Ovis aries: one gene and its partners. The protein of the gene in region 3 binds, or shares a complex with, the protein of the main gene of each other region. Links are inferred from orthologs where the notes say so. Each region holds a gene or a part of one and is shown on either strand. Other genes may lie near its edges.

The links.
Region 1: PRPF3 (region 3) and LSM8 share a complex: the UniProt entries of both Homo sapiens proteins name them as parts of the precatalytic spliceosome. The link is inferred for Ovis aries from reciprocal best matches to the Homo sapiens genes PRPF3 and LSM8.
Region 2: PRPF3 (region 3) and LSM5 share a complex: the UniProt entries of both Homo sapiens proteins name them as parts of the precatalytic spliceosome. The link is inferred for Ovis aries from reciprocal best matches to the Homo sapiens genes PRPF3 and LSM5.
Region 4: PRPF3 (region 3) and PRPF8 share a complex: the UniProt entries of both Homo sapiens proteins name them as parts of the U4/U6-U5 tri-snRNP complex. The link is inferred for Ovis aries from reciprocal best matches to the Homo sapiens genes PRPF3 and PRPF8.
Region 5: PRPF3 (region 3) and SNRNP200 share a complex: the UniProt entries of both Homo sapiens proteins name them as parts of the U4/U6-U5 tri-snRNP complex. The link is inferred for Ovis aries from reciprocal best matches to the Homo sapiens genes PRPF3 and SNRNP200.
Region 6: PRPF3 (region 3) and PRPF4 share a complex: the UniProt entries of both Homo sapiens proteins name them as parts of the precatalytic spliceosome. The link is inferred for Ovis aries from reciprocal best matches to the Homo sapiens genes PRPF3 and PRPF4.
Region 7: PRPF3 (region 3) and SNRNP40 share a complex: the UniProt entries of both Homo sapiens proteins name them as parts of the U4/U6-U5 tri-snRNP complex. The link is inferred for Ovis aries from reciprocal best matches to the Homo sapiens genes PRPF3 and SNRNP40.

The regions. Positions count from the first base shown.
Region 1 is NC_056057.1:84,396,579-84,400,665, forward strand, and holds the start of LSM8 (LSM8 homolog, U6 small nuclear RNA associated), read left to right. Parts: upstream 1-1,287; 5' UTR 1,288-1,352; coding exon 1,353-1,383; intron 1,384-2,536; coding exon 2,537-2,577; intron 2,578-4,087. UniProt on the Homo sapiens protein: Plays a role in pre-mRNA splicing as component of the U4/U6-U5 tri-snRNP complex that is involved in spliceosome assembly, and as component of the precatalytic spliceosome (spliceosome B complex).
Region 2 is NC_056057.1:65,579,067-65,583,208, forward strand, and holds the start of LSM5 (U6 snRNA-associated Sm-like protein LSm5), read left to right. Parts: upstream 1-1,342; 5' UTR 1,343-1,362; coding exon 1,363-1,408; intron 1,409-2,469; coding exon 2,470-2,565; intron 2,566-2,846; coding exon 2,847-2,874; intron 2,875-3,477; coding exon 3,478-3,550; intron 3,551-4,142. UniProt on the Homo sapiens protein: Plays a role in pre-mRNA splicing as component of the U4/U6-U5 tri-snRNP complex that is involved in spliceosome assembly, and as component of the precatalytic spliceosome (spliceosome B complex).
Region 3 is NC_056054.1:100,400,259-100,403,758, reverse strand, and holds part of PRPF3 (U4/U6 small nuclear ribonucleoprotein Prp3), read right to left. Parts: intron 2,601-3,500; coding exon 2,517-2,600; intron 2,296-2,516; coding exon 2,075-2,295; intron 1,417-2,074; coding exon 1,110-1,416; intron 441-1,109; coding exon 274-440; intron 1-273. UniProt on the Homo sapiens protein: Plays a role in pre-mRNA splicing as component of the U4/U6-U5 tri-snRNP complex that is involved in spliceosome assembly, and as component of the precatalytic spliceosome (spliceosome B complex).
Region 4 is NC_056064.1:22,651,302-22,654,801, forward strand, and holds part of PRPF8 (pre-mRNA-processing-splicing factor 8), read right to left. Parts: intron 3,399-3,500; coding exon 3,207-3,398; intron 2,588-3,206; coding exon 2,350-2,587; intron 2,214-2,349; coding exon 2,085-2,213; intron 1,182-2,084; coding exon 1,068-1,181; intron 981-1,067; coding exon 807-980; intron 560-806; coding exon 366-559; intron 1-365. UniProt on the Homo sapiens protein: Plays a role in pre-mRNA splicing as core component of precatalytic, catalytic and postcatalytic spliceosomal complexes, both of the predominant U2-type spliceosome and the minor U12-type spliceosome.
Region 5 is NC_056056.1:104,064,009-104,068,036, reverse strand, and holds the start of SNRNP200 (U5 small nuclear ribonucleoprotein 200 kDa helicase), read right to left. Parts: upstream 2,801-4,028; 5' UTR 2,671-2,800; coding exon 2,626-2,670; intron 2,102-2,625; coding exon 1,938-2,101; intron 416-1,937; coding exon 244-415; intron 1-243. UniProt on the Homo sapiens protein: Catalyzes the ATP-dependent unwinding of U4/U6 RNA duplices, an essential step in the assembly of a catalytically active spliceosome. Plays a role in pre-mRNA splicing as a core component of precatalytic, catalytic and postcatalytic spliceosomal complexes.
Region 6 is NC_056055.1:10,447,135-10,451,165, forward strand, and holds the start of PRPF4 (U4/U6 small nuclear ribonucleoprotein Prp4), read right to left. Parts: upstream 2,801-4,031; 5' UTR 2,717-2,800; coding exon 2,684-2,716; intron 1,948-2,683; coding exon of another isoform or gene 1,945-1,947; coding exon 1,767-1,944; intron 1-1,766. UniProt on the Homo sapiens protein: Plays a role in pre-mRNA splicing as component of the U4/U6-U5 tri-snRNP complex that is involved in spliceosome assembly, and as component of the precatalytic spliceosome (spliceosome B complex).
Region 7 is NC_056055.1:236,094,116-236,098,206, reverse strand, and holds the start of SNRNP40 (U5 small nuclear ribonucleoprotein 40 kDa protein), read right to left. Parts: upstream 2,801-4,091; 5' UTR 2,771-2,800; coding exon 2,627-2,770; intron 1-2,626. UniProt on the Homo sapiens protein: Required for pre-mRNA splicing as component of the activated spliceosome. Component of the U5 small nuclear ribonucleoprotein (snRNP) complex and the U4/U6-U5 tri-snRNP complex, building blocks of the spliceosome.

The DNA of each region.
Region 1 (4,087 bases), on a different chromosome or scaffold from region 3:
CGGAGTTCACTCAAACTCACGTCCATCGAGTCGGTGATGCCATCCAGCCATCTCATCCTCTGTCGTCCCCTTTTCCTCCTGCCCCCAATCCCTCCCAGCATCAGTCTTTTCCAATGAGCGTCTGCCTGCTGCTGCTGCTGCTGCTGCTAAGTCGCTTCAGTCGTGTCCAACTCTGTGCGACCCCATAAACAGCAGCCCACCAGGCCGGGGTTCTCCAGGCAAGAACACTGGAGTGGGTTGCCATTTCCTTCTCCAATGCATGAAAGTAAAAAGTGAAAGTGAAGTCGCTCAGTCGTGTCCGACTCTTAGCGACCCCATGGACTGCAGCCCACCAGGCTCCTCCGTCCGTGGGAGTTTCCAGCAAGAGTACTGGAGTGGGTTGCCATTGCCTTCTCCAGAGCGTCTGCCTACAATGTGGGAAACCCGGTTTTGATCCCTGGGTCCGGAAGACCCTTTGGAGAAGGAAACGGCAACCCATTTCAGAACTCTTGCCTGGAAAATCCCATGGACGGAGAAGCGTGGTAGGCTACAGTCCACGGGGTCGCAAAGACTCTGACACGGCAGAGTGACAAAATGAATGAGTGACAACGCCGCCGCGATGCACCATTTAAAAATTTTTTTTAACAACAAAAACATTTGTATTGGGGTATAGCCCATTCACAATAACAATGGTTGATAGTTGCGGGTGAACACGATGCAGCACTTTTAGAAGCAAATGCAAACTGCGAACATGCTTTTAACTACTGACTTCTCCAGATATGTATACCATACGGTACAACTGTGGAACTTTGTCCGGGGTCGTTTAGCTTCTAAAACGTTAATTTTCGGCCTCTGCAGTACAAAATTAGGGATTCCACATCCGGGCGTCTACACTTCATACCAGAACAGCACTAGTCTCTACTTCACTTGTGGGGAAAAAAACACACACAACAAAAACCTTATTCGGTTTTCTCCTGCCTTCCCCATCTTCTCTCAACATTTCCCCTTAGTAACTTCTGCCACTAAAGCCTTCCATTCCGCTATGAAGCGCGCTCGCCCACCTTCTCCCCATCTTCAGGGAGCTTCTTTCTTTCTTTCTCCCACCGCCCGTTCTCTTTGGTTCTTTCCGGCTTCCAATATCACCCGCAAGAGCAGAAACATACTGCACACGCGCATTAAGGCCGTCGTCGCTTTGCATCTCGGGAATGCTTGGCCGGTTTCTTTCAGTCTCTGATTCGCGGAGGCCGCCCTGCGGTAGTTCTCGCGGTATTTGCTGCCGCCAGTCGGCGAGAGAGGCTGCTGTTCCCTGGCGGTCCTTTCTAGCTCATCTGGACGCCGGGGCTCTTGTGTTTCCAGTTGCCAGGTCGCGTATCATGACGTCCGCCTTGGAGAACTACATCAACCGTACCCTTCAGTCGGCTATCGCGGGCATTAGCTAAGGCCTTGGTGAGGCCCACGTCTGGCCCCGGAGTGGACCAGTGCTGGAAAGGCCAGGGGTCGGGATCGGCGGGCGGTTGGGGCACCGAGCCACTGACGGGCTTGGGTCTCGGGGTGGGGATACAGAGGTTAAGGAGGCTCACCCCTGGGACTGGAGCCCGCAGCTCCTGCTGGTCCAAGGCGTCTTAACTTGATGGAAAAGCCGAGCAAAACCGACAAGATTATTCTGAACTTTTCCGTGTCTCTATAGAAATCAGTTATTGATTCACCCTTTCCATTTCCCTCGGGCCTATACGTTCACGTTTGGGAATAAGATAGTTTTACCAGCTGCGACGGTGGACTCACAAATCTATGTGTTTGTTTTATTCATAGGCTTTGCTCAGTCTTCAAGGATAGCAGAAACTTTACAGATGATGCAAAAATCGAATGTCTGCCCCTTTACCAGCTGAAATCTCAACTTTATTGTTGATGGAATTAAAATAATGCTTGCTGTTGTAATAGATCGGCTTGTGGGGCAAATAGCTTTAAAAAGCTCCTGTAATAGTACTCTATGCACCATTTTAAAGTCTCGGGACAGAAACATTACGTTGTGCTCTCATGTACAAATTTGGGACAAAAGTGGAATGCTAAAGGTTTTTCTTTTTAAATGATGCAAGCATATTGATACTTGTGATATTGATTATAGTTTCTTTTGAATTCCAGAAGGCAGGTCCTAGAAGACAGTGTCTTAACGTATTAAATCATTTGACATTGAATAGCACTCATCCAATTTTCGTTTCAGAGATGATGAAACAGGTTTAAAAAAAGGAAAAATATCTTGCTCAATTTTCATATTTGCAATATTCCCTCATTAAAAATGAGTACCAAACATCCCAGCTTGTTTTAAGATAGAATACACTGATCTCATAAAAAGGATGTTTTCTATTTTTCCTTTTTTAGATTGTGTAGTTGTCACAGAGAATTAAGAACATACAATTTTATGTTGTAAATGTGGCTGTGTTAAATAGTTGTATCTTAATTCTGTCACCTTTTTTCCTAGTAATTTAAGCCATTTACTTACCAGATTTTAAGTTTTCAGTTTGCATTCCCTTAGAAATGCTTTCCTTGATTCAGTTATCAGGAACTGTTGCTGTCATTACTTCTGATGGGAGAATGATTGTGGTAAGTATTTGGTGTATTCATTCTCTGCTTTCTTTTAGGCTTTTCTGCCTGTGATGCTCAGTTGTCCCAGACTCTTTGTGACCTCCTGAAGTGTAGCCTGCCAGGCTCCTCTGTCCATGAACTTTTCCAGGCAAGAATACTGGAGTGGGTTGCCATTTCCTGCTGCAGAGGATTGTCCCAACTCAGAGATCAAACCCGGATCTCCTGCGTCTCTTGCATTGGCAGGTGGATTCTTTGCTGCAGTGCTACTTGGGAAGCCCACTCTTGAAGGCTTACTGGTTGTAAATTTTTATGTACAACCTCTGATCTCCAGTGCCTAGGCACCAGAGTACACCTGCATTGCAGTTTTCTTATGATTCAACTCTTTATCTCTTTGATAAATAGCTGCCAATCCGTTTTTTTTTTTGTTTTTTTCATTAATAAACATTGGCTGTAAGTTACATACAAGGCTTCTTCTAGAAGCTTGGATGAATAACAGAATCTGCCCTTAGAGAACTTCTGGTCTAGTCTGCAGATATTTGTCTATATTTTGTATTTATCTTGCTTCATCTTTTATTTCCTTCCTCATTTAGTGCTCTGACATCTACTACATGAATCATACAGGTTGTTTTTTTTTTTTTTTTTTTAAATGTGTGTGTGTGCTTTTTGGAAACTTTTAAAAAAGATTTAGATACTACCTCTATATAATGAACATTTAAGACATGTACATTGTTAATCTTCAGATATTCTTAGGTTGTAGAATCTCGTGCTTCTGTAGAATAAATTATGATGAATATTGAAGTGTATTTCATCTCATTTTTCCTTTTATCGCTGTATCCCATTTTAATTCCAGAAAAGTCTTGGATTCTCTCCTTGATCTGAGGAATTTATTCCATGATTTTTGGTGGCTTAATTTCATTTATAATTCATGATTGTTAACTTTCAAAAAAGTTTTAAGGCTGCTAAACTTTATTGTCTTCTATAATTCATAGAATTTGTTCTTCTATCTTCCTACTCTGCAACTGATGTTTTTTTCTTTTTAATCCTTGGGGTTTTTCTCAGTGGGTCCTTAAGTGGCAATTACCAAGTGTCAGACTTTGCCATTTATTAAACATGTGTCATGTACCAGGCATGTCCCGTGTGTTACATCACTTAATCCTAGTACAACTCTGTGAGGAAGAACTAGCCCTGCATTCTAAGCTAAGAACCTGGATCAGAAAAAGAGTCACTTTCCCAGAGTCATATGAATGTATGTGGCAGAGCCAAACTGGGATTTAAACTAAATTTGACTCCAAAGCCTAAGGCCAGTCGCCTTGCTTCCTTTTTAATCAAGAGAGCAGTCATGGTTTTGTTTATTTTTTTAAGGTACTTCACATTGTATTTTGTCAAATTAAGAGAGTTTGAAATATTTTAATCTCATCTTAACTTTGAGAAGTTATAGCTATTAAGAAATATTTGCAAATAGTTTTTTAGTTTGTGGAAACCTTGGGTTTAAAATTTTTTTTTAATGGTATAGATGATAAATTGGAAA
Region 2 (4,142 bases), on a different chromosome or scaffold from region 3:
AGCAAGATATTGACTTAAAGCTTATTTTCTTGAATTTTAAACTCTATCAGGTAGCAACAATACCTTGAATTTGGTTCCTATTCACATTATGGTATGGTGAAAATGAAACAAGAATAGATATAGGAAAACAAATTTTTTTGGCATTACTTTGTCTTGCCAAAGAATGATGTGACGATTGACTAAGATCCCTGAAGTTAAAAGAGCACTTTTTGCTTTACATATTAAATTCCACGTGCTTTGTACATAATGCTTGCTAGTTGTCTTTCTCCCCCATTTATCCTTTAGCTCCTATAAGGGCAGAAGACGTTGTAGTTCTGTTCTTTACGCTGGTTATACTGAGCAAAATGCCAATGTTCAACTAAAGTATTTGTTCGATGAATGAATGATTGGTGCTTTGCAGCCATTGTGTGAATGAATGATGTCCTTCCTGGCCTTTCCTGCTTAAACTCTTTAGCTTTAAGCTCCTCAGATATAAACATAAAATAGACCAACGCAAAAAATTTGTTCGCTTTTTCTTTTCAAAACAGATGCGTAAAAGCAGCAAGGCTTCCTAAATGTGATGTTATTAACATAGAATGACATCTGGTGGTTGCCTGTTGGACTGTGGAAGAAATAGTGTATACAAAATGTATAGCAGACTCCTAGATATTACAAGATTAAAAAGGACAGTTCAGTTCTGTCACTGTTTTGTCCGACTCTTTGCGACCCCATGGACTGCAGCACACCAGGCTTCCCTGTCCATCACCAACTCCTGATAGTAGAAGATAGAAAACAATAGAAATGGAAAAAATTGAAAAAGTAGAATAGAAAAATAGAAAAAGAAAACGATAGTAGAAAATAGAAAACATACTTAAAATTTCCCCCTCGCCCAACAAACTTTATTAAAAATGCTAGTTGTGGGTTTTCAAATCATCAAACTTTTAAAAGAAGCGGTAGATTTTTTTTTTTAACGAAAATTGCAACACAATGAATCGGTGGCGGGAAAATCAAATTTATTGATTCTGGTCGAAGAAAGATCCTGGGTTGATATGAGACACACCTCGATAAGGGGAAATAAGACAGCACAAAGGCTTCCGTTTCGCAGGCTTCCGGATTAGAGAAATAACTTATTTATAAGACCGGAGATCTCTAAAGTCTCTTGGAAGTTTGGAGAGGCGAGTTATCTGTGGAGAACCTAGAACGCTCAGTGAACAGAAACACTTTCTAGAATCTCCCTGCAGGATAAAGAAGTGGCTGGATCTCCTCAATCGCACTCTCGGCCTCAGATTGGTCGAGCCTGCCTGGGCCGGAAAAAAGCGGAAGCGCGCTCTTTCAAACTCGCCGTTCCGACGTCGATAGAGGCAGGCCACTTCCGGCGTAGCCATGGCGGCTAACGCTACCACTAACCCGTCGCAGCTGCTTCCTCTAGGTAATCTTTGTCCTGTTGGGGAGCCGGGGCGGGGAGTTGAAAGTTAGGGTTGGGGCCGAAGAGCAAGGCAGTCCCTGACCGAGTGTTAGAAAAACGTAGCTTTCTCTGCAGCTCTCCTTTAGGCTCCAAGTCTCGGCGGCCTGAGGCCGCACAAGTCTCTCTGGCGTGGGGGAGTCTTCTTGAGGCAGGGGTTTTTGACTCCCCAAACCTTCACCGGAAAGGTTCAGTCTTGGTGAATGTGTCGTTGACCTTCTTTGTTGGGTGCTCGCCTTTATAATAGTAAGAGGCCCATTCCGCAACCGGGCTTTTAAACTACCCGGGTTATATCCTGTCTGGCTGGTTTCTGAGTGAGGCACTTGGGTCTGGAATGAGCCTTTAAAGAGGCCTCTGAAAACTAGCTCTTGTTACTCATTTATTCAGCAAGCAGTTACCGCGCCATCTGTGCACTAGACACTGTGATTGGGCACTGTTCAACAAATTTAAATCACGGCCATTACCTTCAGATAGCATACAAACCAGTGTAGGAAACAGGATACAGGGCAGACATAGACTTAATGACAAGGAGGAATCTCTGGTGAAGACAGTTCTGCCTTTTTTTTCCCCTTAATATTTTATATTTGAAGGGTTATCGGGTTAGTGGATGTGGCAGTTATTGTAAAGGTTTTTTTCCATCCTGGAACAAATTCTTCTGAATGACCAGTACATTTCAGGCATTGTCCACTGGGGATACACTGATGAGTAAAAACCACCTCTCAGCTCTCTTTCAGCTTAGAGTCAAGAGGGGCGTTCATATGTTAATCAGATAACTAAAATAGTATTAAACTACAACCATGATAAATTGCTACAAAGGAGGGTTAAATGAATAACAGGGAGGGAAAACTGTCCTTTTAATAGAATGACTGAACAGAGATATGTAACATAAGGTCTAAAGTTTTGGAGTGAATACTTTTCCTGGCTTATCTTTTCACCATATGCATGTAACAAGTGTCAGTAGGCATTCAAATATTTGTTAATGTTATGAATGGGCAAACTAATCTTCTCTCTCCCGCCCTTATCTGCAGAGCTTGTGGACAAGTGTATAGGATCAAGAATTCACATTGTGATGAAGAGTGATAAAGAGATTGTTGGCACACTTCTGGGATTTGATGACTTTGTCAGTATCCTTTTAAAAGGTGGTTGTATGGATTTTTCTTCAGATTTTTAAAAAAGAACTATAGACTATCAGTACTTACCGATTATTATAATAAAGTTTAATTTATTTTTTTGGAAATTGTGATAGTGTTTTAAGGGATTGTGGTACTGAAAGATGAAGTTCCTACCAATTGCACGCAGCTTGCATTTGAGCCATTGTATTCAATGTTATAATTAAAACTGAACAAAGAAATAAGCCAGAGTAAATTTAATTTGGTATGTTTATTTTCTTAACACCAAATTTCAGATATGGTATTGGAAGATGTCACTGAATTGTGAGTAGTGTTAAAAATTAAAGAATGGGTAGGGGGAATCTCTGTTTGATTTAAGGCAGTTTTAGTGCTGTTGAGTCAGTAAAAGGATGTAGGAGAGCACACTGCCTGTTTGAATTACTCTAAAGAGAGAAAGTTTACCTACTGATGTTAGTAAAATTGGATTGGAGGATTATTACCATAATTTAATTGTCACTAATTGCTAGGAAGTTAGTGGAGACAAAGGTTTAAGGTAAAAGATACTAAAAGCAGCCAGGGATCTTAGCGCTCAGATCAAATAAAGGAACTTATAATAAAAACATTTAATGTTTTAAATTAGTTACTCTAAAACTTATGTGTATATATATATATATAAACATTTTATTTCATATTTGATCTCCTTGGTAAGTTTCAGTTTTTTAGATGAAGATCTGCACTAGTGGATGTGGGTCTTAGGCCAGTCAGTCCACTCTCTTGCCTTTGGAGAATTGACATCACCATGGGGATAACCTTGTCTCTGGAAAGTGTACAGTTCATTTATATATAGTAACTAACCTTTTGGTGGATCAGAATGTTGGCTTTGATTATCACTCTTTATCCTGACTTTTTGAAAATCTTTTTGTTTAGTGAAATCACACCAGAAGGAAGAAGAATTACTAAATTAGATCAAATTTTGCTAAATGGAAATAATATAACAATGGTAAGACAGTGAAGGTCTTTTATTTAGATGTTAAGCCATCTTTGTGGGGCAGGGATTACAGAACTGACTTGATTGACTCAATGTTCTTGGCCCAGTGGTGCTTAGGGTGGGAAGGGAATGCTCTGCTGATCAGGATTCTGTGGCCAAACTGTTGAAGATGACATTAGGCCTAAGATTAGTTTGTTTATACCTTTTATCTTATGTATTTTTAAAATATTTATTTATTTTTTTATTTGGCTGCATTGGGTCTTAGTTGCATCACAGAAGATCTTTACTTAGTTGCAACATGTGGGATCCAGTTCCTTGACCAAGGATCAAACCTGGGCCCGCTGCATTGGGAGCATGGAGTCTTAATCATTGCACCACCAGTGAAGTCCCTGCTTGTGCTTTTTAATCATTTATTTTACCAAGAATTAACTGTTGAAACATTAAATCACTAAGTATTAATTGATACTGTTGGAATTGTAAACAGAGGTGACATGGGGAAAATGGGAATATGAGGGAGAGGCAAAGGCTGATCAATGACCAGTCAGTGAGCTCTCAGTAGGGGTTTTTAGATCATGTGGTACTAAGTTTTAAACTTTTTCCTCCT
Region 3 (3,500 bases):
CATCTGTTATAAGTAGCAAAAGAAGGTAATTAAGAAAACAAATATGCTAAAAACACTAACAATGTATAACAAAGCAAGCAGAAAATATCTGTGTCCAATCCTCCTACACTGATTGACCCAAAAAACTAAAATCAACCCGTAGAACATGTTCTTTATGGAGCTTGTATATGGTTATCTATTTGGCTTAGATTTAAAATTTGTACTTAATGCATGAGTACCATCTTTCCCATTAAAACTCTAGCCTTATTAAAAGGTATTAATCAACAAACTCACAGGTCAAAGCCATTGGGAATGATGTAAGAGTCCCACCACTCAATTTCAGGGATGTCACCTTCCTTCAATTCCTTCTTAGGAGCAATGAGGGCCAGTCTAGTTGAAGTATGAATGCCTGTTTTTCGAGCAGCCTGTGAGATCTCTGCCTGCAGCTTCTCTAGTTGAGCCTAAAGACAAGGTAAGACAAGAAGATAAACTGGAATCACAGAAAATAGGGAAGCAGTAGAATCCCAAATCTTAAAACACTCCCTTGTTGAACTCTTTACATATAACACAACAAATTCAGATTTTCTGAAAGCTAAGAAAAAAGAGTTGTTCTGCTTTACTTTATTCATTACTTGGTTGATTTCCATATATTTGGCTCTCATCATCACCCCTCTATCCCAGTGCGTGCCTGCAGCAAATATGCAGAAATGGAATTCTATGGAAAACTTCTGAGAGGATGAAAACAAGAAGGTCAAAGTCATTGAATATATGGTCAATTAAACTATCCAGGAATGTGGACTGTCTGCAGCAAATGTTAATTGCAGGCTAGTTTTCCTCAGATGTCCTGAGGTTTCTGAACAGTTTCCCTCCACTGATTGTTGTATGTAGAGAATTTTCAAATTCAATTTCCTTTCTACCTAAGTAGAACGTAAGTAACTGAGAAACCAAATCACTAAAAATCAAGTATTCCAGGAATACAGTATTTTAAAAATTACTCATTGCTTTACTACTTATCTAATTGCCAAAAACATATAGAGAATTAAGTTGACAGTATTTCAGGATTATATACAGTTTCCTTTGTCACCTTCCTAACTTCTTCAAATTTCTAGATTTTATTCTAAGCCAGATACCTTTGTCCGTAATCGTTGGGCAATCTTTTCAAATTTGCCCTTGTCATGGAATTTAAAAGTGCGTCTCTGGCGCTGGGAAGGGGCAATAGAGACTCGTGGATCAAAAAAGGTATTAGATTCCATGTCTTCTGATGGCTTTTCTTTTAGCTGCTGCTTGAATTGTTCTCTCTTCACAGCCCGAATATTGGCCTTCAGAGTAGGCATTCTGTGTGTCAGCTCAATTTCCTTGCCTGTTGCATCTACAGTTCGACCTTGTTCATCAAGAATCAGTGGTGTAGGTTTAGTTTGATCTTTTAACTCCACCTTCCTGAAAAAAAGCCCAAAAGAGGAATAAATCCCATATAAAACAATAAGGCAGGCAAACAAACAGACAAAAAATAAAAACAAATCAAAACCCACAAAAGACAATTAGATTACAAAATTCTAAGGAATATGAACCCATCAATGAATAATAACATCTTGACTGAATATATGAAGCTGGACAGTTGAGTATGGAGTATAATCAGATGAAATGAACTTACAAATTACAATGGGAAGAAGTTAGAATCCTATCATTCTTTACTCCTGAATTCTTGAGTCAGGGAATGGCAAACCAATTGAGGTGCTAAAAATAAAGCCTATCACTTTTACCCAGTTGCAGAGAACGCTCAGATCTGGTCTCACTCAATGTGGTCTAATGGAAATAGCTCTTGAGTTAGGAACCAGGAGACCTGATCCTATTCCTAGCTCCAGTACTGGAGGAATAATCTTAATTTTAGTTTTACCATTCATAACAAGAAGCTAATTAAACTCTGCAACAAGGAAACCAAGAGAATAAATTCAATTGGTATTTACTGAACATATGTAAGAAATATGAAACTAAGAAATGATTTAAGTTCCTTGGAAGAAAAGGATCAGTAACACTCAAAGGTATTTATTGCTTCTCAAGCTTCAGAAAAAAAGAGTTCCATAAAATAGATACTCACGGGGGAGCAATGCCCATAGCATGGAGATTGGCCAGGCCCACCATGTTGGCATTGCCGATGAGACCTGGCTTCAGTGCCAGCTGGGCTTGGATGCGGGCTTGTAGTTCAGCTGCTTTCCTTGCCTTCTCAATGGCATCATTCATGAAAGTGGCGGCCTGAGAGGGCTGAATAGTGTTGCCAATTGGAAGTCGCTCTGGTTGGGAGGATGAAGGAGTCTTTGGCTGTGAGAGAGAAAAAGAAATCAGAATCAGAAAAAATTAACATAGGCAAACAGATCTCTCTCTTTTACACACACACAAACACACACACACGGAGCGGTGGACTGTGGTAAATTGAGGGTGGAACATGCAGTCATTTTCTGGACTCTCATTTGAGTGGGTGGCAAGAAATTTTGTGTTTAACAGTCTTCTTTTCAGAGAAACCTGAAAAGAGGTTACAATACCTGAGGTGTAGGGGGGCTAATGAAGCTCAGTTGCTTTTTCCTTTCCTCAATTTGCCGTGTTGCTGCTTCCATCATCTGTTTGATCTGCTCTCAGTGGAGTAAAAAGTTGAAAAACAGTTAACATCTCTTCTTTATTTCTCCCATACAGGTTCCTAAACTCAAAGGGCTTTTAGATCTAGAGAAACCAGTATTTTTTTGATGATCCCATTATATTCTGCCTGTACCATAGGCTAGCAAATTTAGTAAAGATAAGCTTACACAGTTAATCACTGGAATTTTTCAACCTATCTTCCCAAGGCAGGACTGGCATGTTAAGTAGTAACACAGCTTGATGAGTAAGACTCTGGAGTCAGGGAAACCTGAGTTTGAATCTTAACTCTGCCATTTAATGCCTGTGTGACCTTGAACATGGTATTTAATTCTTAAATCTCCAAGTGTTTAAAAGGAGTAAAAACAGATCTTACAGGGCAACTGTGAACATTTAAATAATGCATGCAACACTAATAGAATCCATAACATTATTTTTAAAAAAAACAAAAAACACTATTGGTCCCTGAGTTCCTAGTTTGGGTAACCAGAGTCCACAATGTAGACTTGCTTCCTAGTCTCCATCAATTCCTTCCTCTGTCCTAAGGAAATTCAGAAAAATAAGCTTTGAGAACATGATCCAGTAACTCTTCTTGAATTTTCCAAAAGAGTCTGCTGTCAAGGTGCTTCACGGTTATTTTTTTAAATTTATTTTTAACAATTTCTTAAATAGTGACATATTTACATAGTTTAAAACGCAAAAAGTATATTCTGAAAATATTTACTATTTATATGGTATCAGAATTTTTAAACAATGCCCATTTTAAATACACAGATAATTTCTATGAAAAACAATACCAAGTCAATCTGAAATTATTTAAGTGGATTAAGCTTTCTGCATTATATTATTTGGAAATTCTTCTCTGCCATCATGCTGAGTTCTACTTATTTCAATAA
Region 4 (3,500 bases), on a different chromosome or scaffold from region 3:
AGTGGTGGTACTGAGGGGTCTGGGATGTGAGAACTCCGTGTGTGTGTGTGTGTGTGTGTGTGTGATGAGTGGTGGTACTGAGGGGTCTGGGATGTGAGAACTTCCTGGACTGCATGGGCAGTAAAGAAACACCCTGCTCAAAATGGCAACAGTTCCTCTGCTGAGGAACAGTGCCCAAGAGTCAGCTTGAGCCCGGAGACACGGACACTTCCTGTACCATCAGAAGATACTGCCTATAAGCATCCCCATGACAATTTCTTGAGAATCGTCTCGGCTTAAAATGTTTCAAAAATCCCAGAAACCATACACTGAGCCGCCTGTTTCACCCCCTGCGGCTCTCCTCTGTAGCCCCCACCCCTGCTCACTTGTTTTTCTTGCCATAGTCAGCCAAGATAAGGTCCTTGAGCTGCACCTCCACCTTGATCCACTCCTCGTCCGTCAGAGTGGGCCAGATGTGGTGCGGCTCTGTGATCGTGGTCTTGTCTGGCTTCAGGATCACCTTCGCGCGGTCGTTGTTCACATGCAGGGCACGCAGGATCAGGATGAGGCGGGAGAAGGCCTGCGGAGAGGTGTGGTGGCGTGGGGTCAGCAACTGGACGCTCTTCCCTCTCCTCCAGCCCATCCCTTTGGAGACTGACCCCTAAGGGGTCCCCCTCACCAAAGACAGGGGCACTGGCTCATCCACAGGTGGATGAGGTGAAAATAACCCCCCCAAGAGGCCTGTGAGAAAGCTAAGGCACAGGACTTTCTTGTGATCCCAAACCCACTCTTCTCAGAGTGACGCTCCCAGCAAGCTGGTTTCATACCGTGTAAGATGAGATAGTCTTGAGCCAGTCGTCATAGAGGTTAAAGAGAACCATCTGCGGCTCAGTGGCTTTAAGGATGAGATCCCCAAACTTCTCCACCTTGAGGCAAGCCTGGAAGGGGAGCTGGAGCTCTGATCCTTTAATCACAATATTGGGGAAGTCCAGCAAGTGCACCTGAGACAAGATCAAGTCCAAGTTTAGAAACAGAGCCAGCAGGTCTCAGCCCTCTTTCCTCCTACTCATTCACCACCTCTCACTCACCTCCAGTGGATCCAGCATGCCTTTCCTAGTGACAATGATCTGCTTGGGCTGCTCCTCCACGGGCAGAGATCGGATCAGAGCAGCCACCTCCTCAGCTGTCTTCCATTTAGCCAACTAATAAATAAGAAAGGAGGACAGGGAAACTGAGTCTCTGCCCTCCCAGGTCAGATAGAACAGAACATCCCAGTCTTGAAACACTTACCCTTACCTTATGTTTCTACTGTATGCTCCTAATCGTTAGGTACTCAAGAGCTATAGAAAAAATGTCCAATTGTCTTGCCCCAAAGGATGTTTCAACCTAGCTGGCCAGAGGAAACTCACACAAGCTAGTGTTTGACTATATACACACTATGTCAGGGACAAAAGAAATAAAGGCTAAAGGTCACAAAAAGTTGCACAAAGAAGGAAGTCTTGAGGATTGAGCGAGACAGTGATTAACAGAGCTAAAAGAAGAGTTCATTCCAGCAAAGCCACAGAGGCAGAGATGTTCACCAGGGTCTGGGATACCAGGATCCTGGACTGACTGCCAGAGGGGCATGCTGCAGAGGACAAGAAACCGTGGCTGGACAGATGACAGCCTGCCTAGACATCAAGCACCTAGAAAACCAGAGCTACCTTAGCAAGAAGTAAGGGTCACCAAAGGCTTTGAGGCAGAGAAGAGACTTGGTGAAACCGACATTTTAAGACTATGTTCCCTTTAGAAAGATGATTTTTCATAGCCCTCTTCAAGATAGGTTAGAGACACAAGATCTAGATAAATAACAAGGAACTACTGTATAGCACAGATAACTCACGAAGCAGAAAGCCCAGTTAGTGGGTGATGAAGGACCTCAATTATTCTTGGACTTCTTACAAGAACACTTCCCAAGTTAAGTAATTCAGGGGGAAAAGTGTAAATGAGATACCCTCAAAGTTGCAAAGAGAGAAATAGGGAGATTCTTTCTCACACATCCACCCAATACCAAAGAATAAGAGGCAGCATGGTTCTATAGCCTCTCTACCCTTTAACAGGCTCACCTGCCCCAAACGCTTCTGTCCAGCCCACACAGATGTGTGAATTATCTTGAGAAACAGCTGCCCTGTGCGTGGGTTGAAGATGAAGATGGCCCCATTGATGGGTTTGGTGGTCAAGTTCCCTTCAAAAGTCTAAAGAATGATTACATCAGTTAGCACAGTCTAGACACAATCAGCCTGCTTTCCTTCCAGTATGCACACACTTGCCCAGTCACCCTCCCATAGGCATATACAAAACCCCACACCCCCACATGCGTCTAACTCTCACCTTATGGATAGTCACTCTGTAGACATTAGTGTCATCCACAAACCAGATAATCTGGTTGGAGAAGAGCTCACCGTAGTTCTGAGAGGACAGATAGGGCTCAGTGGGCTCAGATGAATAGAGCTGCAGCCCCTTACGGATCCGTTCACGTAACACATACAAGGCAGGATTTGCCTTCATGATCTTGGCCATGGCCTGCTGTATGAGAGGCTTGCTGCCAGGAAACCAGTTTCCATAGGCACTGTGAAGGGGAAAGAGGCAAGAAAGATTAAGACCAGACTAGAATTCCCAGGAACAAGGCAAAATGCAACTACAGAGAAAAAAAGACTGTTTGCCAGGCTGAAATGAAAGTGTCTGATCATCTACACAGAGGCGAGAAAGAGTCAGTGACCCAGACGAGCAAACCGGCAAACCTTAGCAAACCAAAAAGCACATGCATACTGAAGTATGGGGTGGGTGGGGGGACGAATTAGGAGGCTGATAATAACATATACACTACCGTATATGAAACAGATAAATAACAAGGAACTACTGTATAGCACAGACAACTCAATACTGTGTAATAACCTATATGGAATCTGAAAAAAAAAACTGATACAGGTATAACTAAGTCACTTTGCTGTGCACCTGACATTAACACAACACTGTAAATCAACTATAATTCAAAATTAATGGGGTGGGAGAGAGATTCAAGAGGGAGGAGCCATATGATATACCTGTGACCAATTCATGCTGATGAATGGCAGAGATTAACACAATGCTGTAAAGCAATTATCCATCAACTAAAAATAAGTAATTTTTAAAAATTAAAACAAAGTATGGGGCTGATGAAAAATACATGCTTTTGAGCCTCAACTTACCTATGCAGGTTATATGCCAGGTCAATGGCAATGAGCACACCAGTGGGCGAAGGGTAGATACTCATGTTGTCTGTGGTGTAGTCCAAGAACTTGGCCCGGGCATAACGCTCGATGTCATGGGAATCGTAGTCCCCCCAGCGCAACTGTATGTCAATCCAATACTTCTGAGTGGTGGTGCTATCCATCACATCCCTGAAAGTGGAGAGGGCTCAGGAGTCTAGGCTTCCAGGAAGACACTGGTACAACCAATATCCCCAGAACACCAAGAACTCTCAATCACTCTGTCTACATCTT
Region 5 (4,028 bases), on a different chromosome or scaffold from region 3:
CCTTTGCCGCACATCCCTCCAGCAAAATAAAAAATGAATATTAATAGCACCAGGTCAGAGTTAACAAGACTGAAAGAGAGAACACACAAAAAGTGCTACGTCACGTAAAGTGAACACCAGCCACTTCCGCATATTGGTATGGCCCACACAGGAAAAATCCACAAACAAGGTTCCTCTGGGGCCTCCTAGCTATGACTTCCTCCCTCTCCAAAAACGCGTGGCTCCACCCTCTGGCTGCCTTACCTGGTCCCCAAGGGCAGCCTGGATGAAACTCAGCAGCACTTCATAGGTCTCCCGGGTCTCCTTGGTCTTGGGCTTGTAGATGATGCCCACCATCTCGTCGATGCCCTCTGAGAGCAGAGTGTAACCCTTCATCTTGTTGATGTCGTGCCGGTCCTCATCACGCTTTCTTCGCCTAACAAACACACAGTATGACACTGAACAGGTAGAACCTTCCCTGTTAATGGTAAGACTAAGGCAAGCCCACGCTCCCCTTCTCAGCTGCATGATTCACAGGCAGTATTTAAAACCACAAATGTGTGCCTCAGCAAATGATGCCCATCGGGCCTCAGTCACTTGCGGCAGTATCTCTACGGGAACACGGTAAGAGCAAGGGAATCCCGTCATCCTCTCACTAGATGCACTGCATGCTGAGACATCCCCCCCGTTCATTTAAAAAGACAACCCTTTCTACTTTGTATCACAACATTATATGATCGGATTTGACTAGTTTTCATCCCTCAGACACATCTTCCTTTCCCTGCCAGAGAACTGAAGCTCCAAAGGAATCTACTGCCATTGATTCCTGGAAAAGAAGTCATACTCTGCAAAATGGAGGACCAATGATAAGTAACTCATCTCAAATATAACTGCTTTAATCAAAACTGGACCTATGAATTTTTGAGACTTCATCATGGGACAGATGATGATCAGGCTCAAAGGATAACCATGAGATAAAGTTCAATGATTCTTTAAAGTCTGGAAAAATATCCCCCTTCCCCAAGGTAAAAAACCAACTAAAAAGCAAAACAAAACACCAGCCTTTCACGCTCAAATGGTAGTTTATAACAACAAAAGAAAAAGCAGGCAACAGCAAGCCAAAGAAGTAGCGGAAAGTCAGTAATAGAAGGAAAGACTTACTCTGACAAGAGTTTACCAAGAGTCTTGAAAATACCATCAAGAAAATTAAGATCTCTCTATGGATGTTATGACCAACCTAGATAGTATATTCAAAAGCAGAGACATTACTTTGCCGACCAAGGTCCGTCTAGTCAAGGCTATGGTTTTTCCTGTGGTCATGTATGGATCTGAGAGTTGGACTGTGAAGGCTGAGCGCCGAAGAACTGATGCTTTTGAACTGTGGTGTTGGAGAAGACTCTTGAGAGTCCCTTGGACTGCAAGGAGATCCAACCAGTCCATCCTGCAGGAGATCAACCCTGGGATTTCCTTGGAAGGAATGATGCTAAAGCTGAAACTCCAGTACTTTGGGACCTCATGAGAAGAGTTGACTCAACGGAAAAGACTCTGATGCTGGGAGGGATTGGGGGCAGGAGGAGAAGGGAACAACCAAGGATGAGATGGCTGGATGGCATCACGGACTCGATGGAGGTGAGTCTGAGTGAACTCCAGGAGATGATGATGGACAGGGAGGCCTGGTGTGCTGCGATTCATGGGGTCGCAAAGAGTCGGACACAACTGAGCGGCTGATGGATGAGAAACACATGCTGGAAAAGGGTCTAAAAGCTGTTTTCCACTTCAGGTACACTTGTTAAGGCCAAAGAATCTTTCCATTCTTATGTTGTTACCTTCACTGAGTTGTCTTAATGCCACTGATGGCTCATCCTGCACCAAGCAATTCAGCAAAAGCACTGCTCAAATACCAAGGGAAAATGGATTCTGCATCTGAGGAAAAATCATTTTTTCCCTTTGATACTCACTTAGCTCTTCTTTCCTCTTGCATCTGTGGTTTGGTTCGTTGAGCCTTATCTCCCATCCGGGTGCCCTCCAGCTTCCCCACCAGGGACAGCACTTCTCCTGTGGGTTCATCCCGGCGGGTCCGGTCAATGAGAGAGCGATCAGCTTGGAGGACAAGATTCGAGTTCTGAAAAGACCACAATATTATTGAAGCTCTGAGGTAAGCAGGACTCAACTATATCACAGGGTTGCCAGCTGACAGCAAAGGAAGAATCTGAGCGACTAAGTGTCGATAATCACTAGTCGAAATAAAAAGATGTTTTCCTTGAGAAGCGCATCGTATGATCGCGCATGAGCAAAGGGCAAACAAATCAACATAACAATCACTGCTTCTAATACTGCTCGTAATAACTCCCACGTGGGAAAAGTGTCGGGCACGTTGGGGATGATACATGGAAGGGGGCGGGAAGAGCGCTGCCGGGACTGGGACAAACACTCCTCGCAGAGCTCTTGGCCCACGCCGGTAAGAGCTGAGCCCCAATCACCAGTGGGGTCATTCACATCGCCGTGTACCCCCACCTTCGCCAGGTTCTGACTTCTCCTCTGCTTTCGCGGTTCTCGCGTTTACCTTTAGACTGAAACCCCCTTCCTCAGCCTCCCGCTCCCTATCAGACTCCCCCGCCCGGAGCCCTCTGCCGAGCCCATACGCACCGCTTTGTACTCGTACTGCAGGCTACGGGCGGTTACATCCGCCATGGCCGCGGCTGCTCAAGAGTCTCAGAACTCCGCTCCCAGGACCACACGCTAACAAACGGTGCCGGAACGAAGCAGGCGGGACGCACTTCGGCCGAAAGAGAGAGAGCAAGATGGTTTCCCTTCCACTTCCGGGTCGGACGCCGGAAGTGCAGGCGGGAAATAGACCGGGCGCTTGCGCTCCGGTTTGGGACCGGCGAATCCTGGTACCCTCGAACGATGGTTCCGGAACCACGGCCCGTACTCTCCTGGGCTCTGGCCTGCGGCTCCCAAAGACTTCCCACATCAAGCGAAACGTACGCCTGCTTAGCACCCTATCCTGTCCCAAGTGCTTTTTTAACCCCTTCTTCCTCTGGTAACAGTCCTATGAGCTATGCAGGCTAATGAGCCGGATTTCTGGCTGAGGGAACTCGCACCTTGCAACAGACTGAACCGCGCGTGTGCGCGTGCGTGCGTATGTGTGTTATCTTCCTTTCGGTTTTTCCTCTGTATTAAACAATTGATAACAAAGCTCTGTTCCTCACCTACCCCCACCTAGAACCCATGCTTCCGCGACCTTCGTTCTGGGCACCCAGGCGACTCCCCTTTGCCCCTAAATGCCTGTCACGTTCTGCAGGAGGGCCCTTTCCAAGGCCCCGGGAACATCAGGGAAGGAAGTAGCTGCCCTCCCGCCGGGGCCAACTCGTCGAAGACAGTGACTTAATTTCTTCTCCAACAATGAAGCGCCCCGCACCCCCATCCCCCGCCATGGAGAGGGGCAAGAGGCACCTCTGCCCTCCTACCACTAGTCAACCAGTTCTACTCTGTAAAAAAGACCCTGATGCTGGGAAGGATTGAGGGCAGGAGGAGAAGGGTTAGCTACACAGGATGAGATGGTTCGACGGCATCACCAACTCAATGGACATGAGTGTGCGCAAACTCAGGGACATAGTGAAGTGTAAGGTCGGACCCCGGGGGCCGTGATGGGCCGCCCCTCCGCTCCCTCCTGTCAGCGAGAAGGTCCCTAACGCAACGATCCTCCCAGATCCCGGGGACCATGACAGCACACTTCGCTGGTTGCCGTGATGAGCCGCCCCTGTTCTTCCCGGCCGGCGGGGGAAGTCCCGAAGGGAGGGCGCCTCCCGGATCCCGGGGACCAATGACAGCACACCTCGCCGGCTAAAGCCGCCCCACCCCAGCCACGCAGAAGGACCTGTCAGCCCGCGACGCCTCGCCCTGGCGACCTATCCAAACCCCCATCCATCTAGCCTGACCATCCCTCGCAACTAGCGTACAAAAGCCACCCGCAGCACGGTCGGGCGCGGACTTCCTCGACCTGCCTCCTTCCGGTCCGGGAACCCCGCCCGGGAGCGCTTCGCCAT
Region 6 (4,031 bases), on a different chromosome or scaffold from region 3:
CTGCTGCTGCTAAGTTGCTTCAGTCGTGTCCAACTCTGTGCAACCCCATAGACGGCAGCCCGCCAGGCTACCCCATCCCTGGGATTCTCCAGGCAAGAACACTGGAGTGGATTGCCATTTCCTTCTCCAATGCATGACAGTGAAAAGTGAAAGTGAAGTCGCTCAGTTGTGTCCGACTCTTAGTGACCCCATGGACTGCAGCCTACCACGCTCCTCCGTCCGTGGGATTTTCCAGGCAAGAGTACTGGAGAGGGGTGCCATTGCCTTCTCCGCTGCATGCCTCTAGGGACAGTTAACTAATCTGTTAGAAACTTTAGTTTCTCAGTTTATTAAAGTATGCCAAACACAGAAAACTAAATGAGGTTTTAAAGGCCAGAAACTGGTTCAAGTCATCTTGTTTCATTTGGCAACTTACACTTACATAAACACACAGCCTTCATGAGACAATGAGAATATGGAGCACTTTTAACAAGTTATCTAGGCTTTCTATCCATGGCAAAATAGAAACATTATTTCAACAGTTGCCAAAGCTACTCTCTGAAATAGTCTCAGTATAGGAACACTAACAAATCTAACAGTGAACTGGAAATAATTACCATGAAAATGATAAAGCCTTAACTACAAGGCTTTTTGGATAATCTAGTAGCTAGTTTTAAAACTCACATAAAAAACAAGCATTTGGATGAGAAGTGAGAAGTACAAGGGTGATGCAGTCATGTTTAAAATAACATAAAAGGTTTAAAACTCATGAAAAGTGCACACGTATAGAAAAGAAAATGTGTGGGAGGGTCGATGAGAAACAACAGAAGTCCTATCTGCACAGAAGTCTTTTTATACCCTTCCATACTTTCTGAATTTCTTATGACAAACATGAATGATTTTATTTTTAAAATATAGTAGACTACTAGTTACTGGCATGAAAAAATACCCTCAACAGTGTGTGCATACTTACTGGCTTACTTGTTTCCAACTCTTTGAGAGCTGGTAGACTGTAGCCCACCAGACCCCTCTGTCCATGGGGTTTTCCATGCAAGAAATACTGCAGTAGGTTGCCATTTCCTCTTCCAGGGGATCTTCCCCACCCAGTGATCAAAGCCACCTTGTCTCCTGTGTCTTGCACTGCAGGTGAATTCTTTACCCACTGAGCCATCAGGAAAGCCCATTTAACAGTATCACAATGACAAACGCAGCTTACAAAACAATTGGTTTATCGTGATTTCATTTATGGGAAAAAAAAGTGTATTTTTATAGCTTTATTAAGTTCTTGAAATGACATAGCTCCAATTAATACAGATTACAGGTTTTTCTACTTCATATGTTTCTTTATTGTTTAATTGCTTTCAAAATAAAGATGGCTATCACTTTAAAATTTAGAAGAGATAATTTCATTTTGGGTGAAAAACAGTTGAAAAACTAAAAAGAGGAGAATATTAGGAAACACAGTAGCTCCAAGCTAACGCCAGAACTACACTAGATCTCCAGAAGACAAAGGAAATCACTCTGAATTCAAATACACACTGAATAAATAAATTCCTAGTAAAATTACTAACAGTTTACTGAAGGAAAACTGTATAAAAGGTTTTAAGAAAAAGGTTCTTTGGATGATAAGACCAAGTCAGGTAGGTGGAGAATATGGACTTTGATAGGTGCAAGCTTATTAGTTGTAGTTTCTTGACATAAACTAGTGATATTTAAGATGAAGAAGGTAATCATTACAGAAAATTTGAGCACCAAAGGTAAAGATGAACTCACAATTTGAATCTTACCAGAGGTTATGTTAATGTTTCCTGCTTCAATTCCTGCTTTGAGTCCTTCTTTTCCCAAAAGCCCAGATTCTCCTTTGGCCAGACGCTCCCTCTCCTTCTCTTCCAAACTTCCATAATAGATGTGTGGTTTCTTCACAACAGGAGCCACTAAGTCATCTGGTGCCTTAGTTTTGGTTGCCTGCTAAAACAAAGACCTAGGTTAACCTAAAGCTTAATCTTAGCAGCCTAATAGGTTTCGCAGCAGAATGAAGCTTATTTAGAGCTTCAAACCTATTTCTTCCCCACACAAAGGACAAACCAGACACCAGTTAAAATGTGTCTTCCTTAATCTGGGGGTGGAGGGAAAGAGTGGTTCCAGTCTCTTAATCACTTAAGTTTTGTAGATAGGAAGAGATGGATAAAACTAGTCAATTTCTCGTGCTGATTTTTCTGTCAAAGGTTTTCTCTTGAATATGTGTATTTCATACGGCTGCAGCAGGTGAAATCTCTTCTTGGCTTTTATGAAATTTCCACAATTACTGCTCATCACAGGGGTATCAAGGATAACTGAAATAACCAACGCGATGGTACGGGGGCCAAGTTAGAAAGCTACTGTTCATACATTTCAAACGTTTCGGATATGAAGCAGTAGATAAGTTAGGAGGCCTCGTTACAATTAAGAGTTCTGAAAGTGTCATAAATCTTGGCCAAGACTCTACTCCCTTTCAGAGCTCCGTTTCTGAACCAGACGGAAGAGATATTTACATTTCGGGGCTGGAGTGAGAGGTGAAAACGAGCTAAAACAGATGGAAGCACCCAAGAATTAGGAAAACACCGAAGCCTTCCTCCTCGGCCCTCCACCGCCGTAGCCCGTTCCCTAATGGCCCTGTTTCGCAGGGACCCCCCCACCCCCTCAGCGCTCCCTGCCAGAATGAGACCTGTACCGTGGAGGAGGGTCGTGAGGAAGCCATGCTGGGCTCCGGGGACGCGAAGCCTCAGCGAAAGCCGCGCTCTACGTTTCAGACCGTCCACCGCGCGCCCAGCAAAGCGGAACTACGTCACCAACCGGAAGTGGTCCTAGGTCCGACGCAGCATCCTGGGAGGCGTGGAGCATTATGGGAATCGTAGTAGGAGGGAGTCTGGGCGAGTTGAGAGATGTGATCTGTAGAGCCTCAGAGAGAAGCACGCGGAGGCCAAGGTTCTGCGAAGAGAGAAACTCAGAGGCAGTGTGGGAAGTGTAGTCCAGTTGGCTTAGCGGATGATTCGGGGTGGGCGCCGAGGTTCCGGAAAGGGACTGAACAGGCCTGAAAAGAGGTAGGTGCGGGGAATCGCGCGGCTGCGAACTGAACTCAGGGAGCGAATCGAGGGATTCCGGGGCCTACTATCGGCTCCCGGCCCGGCCAGGGGCTCTAAGTCCTCCTGGCGCCAAGGCCTATGTTGCCATGGAAACTCTCGCCCTGGACCCTTGAGTGCAGCCCAGGAGCTGCGGCGGGAGTGCTGTTCTCCTCCACTGTCAGGAAGTTCTCTTGGCAGTTTCTTCTGGGCTGGGTAGGTTTTCGGTGAATTTGGGCAGTGGTGAAACAATAAGTTCAAAGAGCCCTCTAGCGCCGAAGTGAAATAAAGACCAGGCGGAGGAGCCACGCCCCGCTTTTGCTGTCTTCAGCAGGTCTTTCTGTCTTATTCCGAGAGAGATGATGAATGTGAGGCGTCAGGTAAACTGCAAGCAAGCAACTTGCACGACTCTGCTGCCCTGGGTGCTGGGGCATCAGAGGCGGACAAGACAAGATTCTTGCCCCCTTGTAGGGCGTGAAAGTGAAAGTGAAGTCGCTCAGTCGTGTCCAACTCTTTGCAACCCCATGGGTTCTCCATCCATGGGATTTTCCAGGCAAGGGTACCGGAGTGGATTGCCATTTCCTTCTCCTTGTAGGGGGTGGAGATGCTCAAAATATTGATGTTTCCAGAGCTGGAAAGAGCCCCCTCCTCTCCCCTAGGCCTCTTTCCGATAATAATGCCTATTTACTGTGAAAAATTCTGAAAGAGATGGGAATACTAGACCACCTGACCTGCCTCCTGAGAAATCTGTATGCAAGTCAAGAAGCAATAGTTAGAACTGGACATGGAACAACAGACTGGTTCCAAATCAGGAAAGGCATAGTAAAGGCAATATATTGTCACTCTGCTTATTTAACTTATTAGATGCAGAGTACATCATGCAAAATGCCAGGCTGGATGAAGCACAAGTTGGAATCAAGATTGCCGGGAGAAATATCAATCACCTCAGATATG
Region 7 (4,091 bases), on a different chromosome or scaffold from region 3:
TTAAACTTACTTCTGCCTCAGGATCTTTTGTTGTCCCCGACTGGAGGCCTCTTCCCCGAGATCTTTCTGTGTGTGGTTCCTTTCCAGTGCTTTCTCTCCAGAAAGTTGTTCCTGGAACACTCAAGCCCAAGCAGCACCCTACCTCTCTTTTGCATTTGATCAACACTACTTTTTTCCCTCAAAGAACTTATCACTATCTGAAATTACGTTTCTTATGTATTTGTTTAGTTTGTCTCCCCTGCTCTGCCACGAGAAAGGCTCTGTAGTGCAGGAACCTTACCAGTGTAACATGACACTGTTTCCCAGTCTCTAGTTCGTTTAATGAATGAATGATTGAACGAATGCTTCCAACAACCCTGCAGGGTACAGGTTATTGAAGAAAGTAGTTTTGATAATGGTCTTGGACATTAAGACCAGTTGCAGTCGCGGCAATTCAAAGAAACCCAGGCTGATATTCTTGCCAGACAGAAGCACACTATTAACAATCTGCAAATCTCCTTAGTTTCCAGCTTACTCATTTACTCAGGAAATACTGCGTCAGGTACCGTCCCAGGCACTTAGGAAACAGTACTGAACAAAATAAAAAATGAAGCTTGTGTTCTAGTGGGAAGGACAGAAAAGAGGGAGGGTGAGCAGAAACAAGTAAAACATATAGACGGTGGCATGTGTTATGGAGAAAAACAGAGCAGCAATGTAGATGAGCACAAGGTATGGCAATTTAAAATGGGCTGGTCAGGAAAGTGGAAAAGTGTTATCTGAGCAGAGATTGGGAAGAGCTGAGTGTATAAACCATGTGGACACTTGGAAGAAGAGTATTTCAGTAGAGAGCACAGCAAATGCAAAGACTTTGTAGCAGGAGCGTGGAAGCCACTGTGACTGGAGAAAGGTGAGCAATGGAAAATTGGTAGATCAGAGAGATCAAGTGAAAGAGGGCAAAAGATTGCCAAGATTTCAGTTTTACTCTGACTGACGTGAAAAACCATGGCAAGTTTTCAGCGGGGGGTAATATGATCTTATGTTTAGAAGGATTCCTCTGGCTACTGGTTTGGGAATAGACTGAGCATCCATAAACAGAAACAGGAATTCCAGTAGGATCCTACAGCCATAGTGCCAGATGAGACAAGTGAAGTGAAAGTGAAATCGCAAAAAAAAAAAGGAAAAGTGAAGTCACTCAGTCGTGTCCGACTCTGCGACCCCCTGGACTATAGCCTACCAGGCTTCTCTGTCCATGGGATTCTCCAGGCAAGAATACTGGAGTGGGTTACCATTTCCTTCTCTAGGGGATCTTCCCGACCCAGGGATCAAACCCAAGTCTCCCACATGGCAGGCAGATGCTTTAACCTCTGAGCCAACAGGGAAGCCCTAATGGCTTAAACCAGGAGCTAGTGATGGAAGTGGTAGAAAGTGTTAGTCACTCACTCAGTCATGTCCAACTCTTTGTGACCCCCATCAACTGTAGCCCGCCAGGCTCCACTGTCCATGAGATTTCCCAGGCAAGAAAAAAGGAGTGGGTTGCCATTTCCTTCTCGAGGGTATCTTCCCAACCCAGGGACTGAACCTGGGTCTCCCCCATTGCAGACAGACTCTTTACTGTCTGAGCCACCAAAGAAGCTGGAAGGTGGAAGAAGCGGTAGTGAGTCTGGATATAGTTTGAGGGTGGTGTCAACATTTGCTAACCAGCTGGTTGAGGAGTTGTGGGGGGCGGGAAGACATATATTTTGTCAGCTGAGCCTAACAGGATAGAAGCAGAGGTGTGATCACTACCTCAGTTTTACAGGAAATGTAGTTAAGAGCATGGATTCTGAGTTTAAAAGCTGTTCCTGGTGGTTTAGTCACTAAGTCATGTCTGACTCTTGCGACCTCACTGACTATAGCCTACCAGCCTCCTCTGTCCATGGGTTTCTCCAGGCAAGAATACTGGAGTGGGTTGCCATTTCCTTCTCCACGGATCTTCTGACCCAGGAATCAAACCCAGGTCTCCTGCATTGCAGGGAGACTCTTTACCAGCTGAGCTATGAGGGAAGTCCTATCACTTACTATATAACTTTGTTTTCCCGTCTACAAATTAGGATAATAATATTTCCTAACTCTTGGGAAGTTACCGAGATTAATGCAGTTTTCATTTACACAGCACAAGGGCTCAACGGATGGTAACTATTCTTTGGTTATTACTAATACCAGTGCAGAGAAACAACGGGAAAAGCAAGTTTCCCAAGTCCCCAAAACGAGCCAGCGGCATTCATTTCCCCCCTTCCCTCATTCATTCATTCATTCATCCATCCAATCTTCCAAGTTTTCTGAAATTTATCGTTTATTCTATACTGGATCCCTGGAACATTTAAGAAGTCAAAACCCTGGTCTCGGTTTTTAGCTCAAGATCCTCAATTCTTAATTCTAACACCTCCTCACAGGGCGGTCAAGACGCTGAAAACGCGCGTCAAATGGAGAAACGCAGGGAGAATCGCCGGGTGTACGCCGCTTTTACCGTGTTTTTCTGCTTTAACTCCTAGGAGAGAGAGTCCCGCTCCGGCCGGGAGTGTGGGTTAAGGGCCGCGCAGGATCACCAGGTGCTGAGGAGAGAGGAAGATGAGCTGAGGGCCGAAGGCCGCCTGCTCCTTATACTCACCGCTTGCAGCAAAGCTCCCGGCGCCGCCTGCTGCTGCCCGGCTCCAGGGCCCGACCCTGCCGCTCCCAACAGTAATTCATGTCGCTGCCGCTTCACTGGGACCAGTGGCAACTCTGGGCCCTTACGCTTCTGCTGTTCTATCATGGCGGCAGCCGCTATCCTCAGGCCGCCACTGACCGCGCCGACCCCCTCAGGTACCTCACGATTGGCTCGGACTTAGTCTTTCCCGTAGAACTTCCGGCCGATAGAACCCAATCGACTTCCAATATACCTCTCAGCACCGCCCCCTGAGAACTTTCCTGTTATTGGCCAGTTCTTTCTGACATCACTAGAGTACGAATTCAGGATTGGTGGATAGAGCTGGAGTCCCGCCTAGGCGCGCTGTGTCTTGTGGGTGGAAGCTCACTGACTGGGTTTTGGTGTTTCGCGCAATGCTGCGAGGGAAAGACCAGAAGCAGACAACAAGTAAGTGTAAGGAAGGTCGAGGGGCGGGTGGCTGTGGGATCTGGAGTGGTCTGAGGCTGGCTCTTCTCAGATGCAGGTTTGATTGCAAGGGGCAAAGGGGGCCCCGAGTTCCTAGCTCTGGTGTGTAGTAGCCTGGGTTCCAAGCCTAAGAAACGCGGGTTCGATCCCTGGGTGGGGAAGATCCTCTGGGGAAGTGCATGGCAACCCACTCCAGTGTTTTTGCCTGGAGAATCCCACGGACAGAGGAGTCTGGCTGGCTACAGTCCATGGCGTCGCAGAGTCGGACACGACTGAAGCGACTTAGCACCTAGCCTGGGTTCCCTTTCTAGCCTGGAGCAGAGTTTTGGGAGCCTCTGCTCAGCCTGGGGCCCTCGATGGCTGACTTCTTCAACAGTGTTTTCCGTGCAGAGCCCTAGCCCAGGCGATCCCAGGGAGAAAAGGCCCATCTCCTAGCCTCCATCAGGGTCCTCTCTGACTGAAGAGGCGGACTTGTCACTGCCATGATTCCGCAGCCTTTACTAGCGCCTCCTCAGAAAGATAGAGATGAAGGTAATGTCCGACTCTTGGCCTCCGGAGTACAGTTTTGTTGAGAAATTCGAACTCAGACCTGTGAACTAGGCCTTCTTCTCAGTCGTCCAACTAATATTTATAATACAGAGCACTGGGCAGACATTGTGAACCAAACATGGTCCCTGACTTCAGAGCTTTAAGTCTGGGGTTGGGGGGAAATAGATGCTCACCAGATCTCACTAGGAAATGGGAAGTATGGAAGTGTGTGCTACCTAGGAGAGGTACCTGGTGTTAATGAGTGCCTGAATAAACAGGACGGCTTCTGTAAGGAAAATATGCCTGAACTGATAGCCTCAGGGAAGAATTATAATTAGTTGGGTGAAGCAAGGAAGGCAGAATGTTCCATCTAGAACAGCATGTGCAGAAGTCCTGTGGCAAATGCGAGGAAAATGAGTAAAAGGCACAAAGAGGCCATTGTGGCCAGGACAGA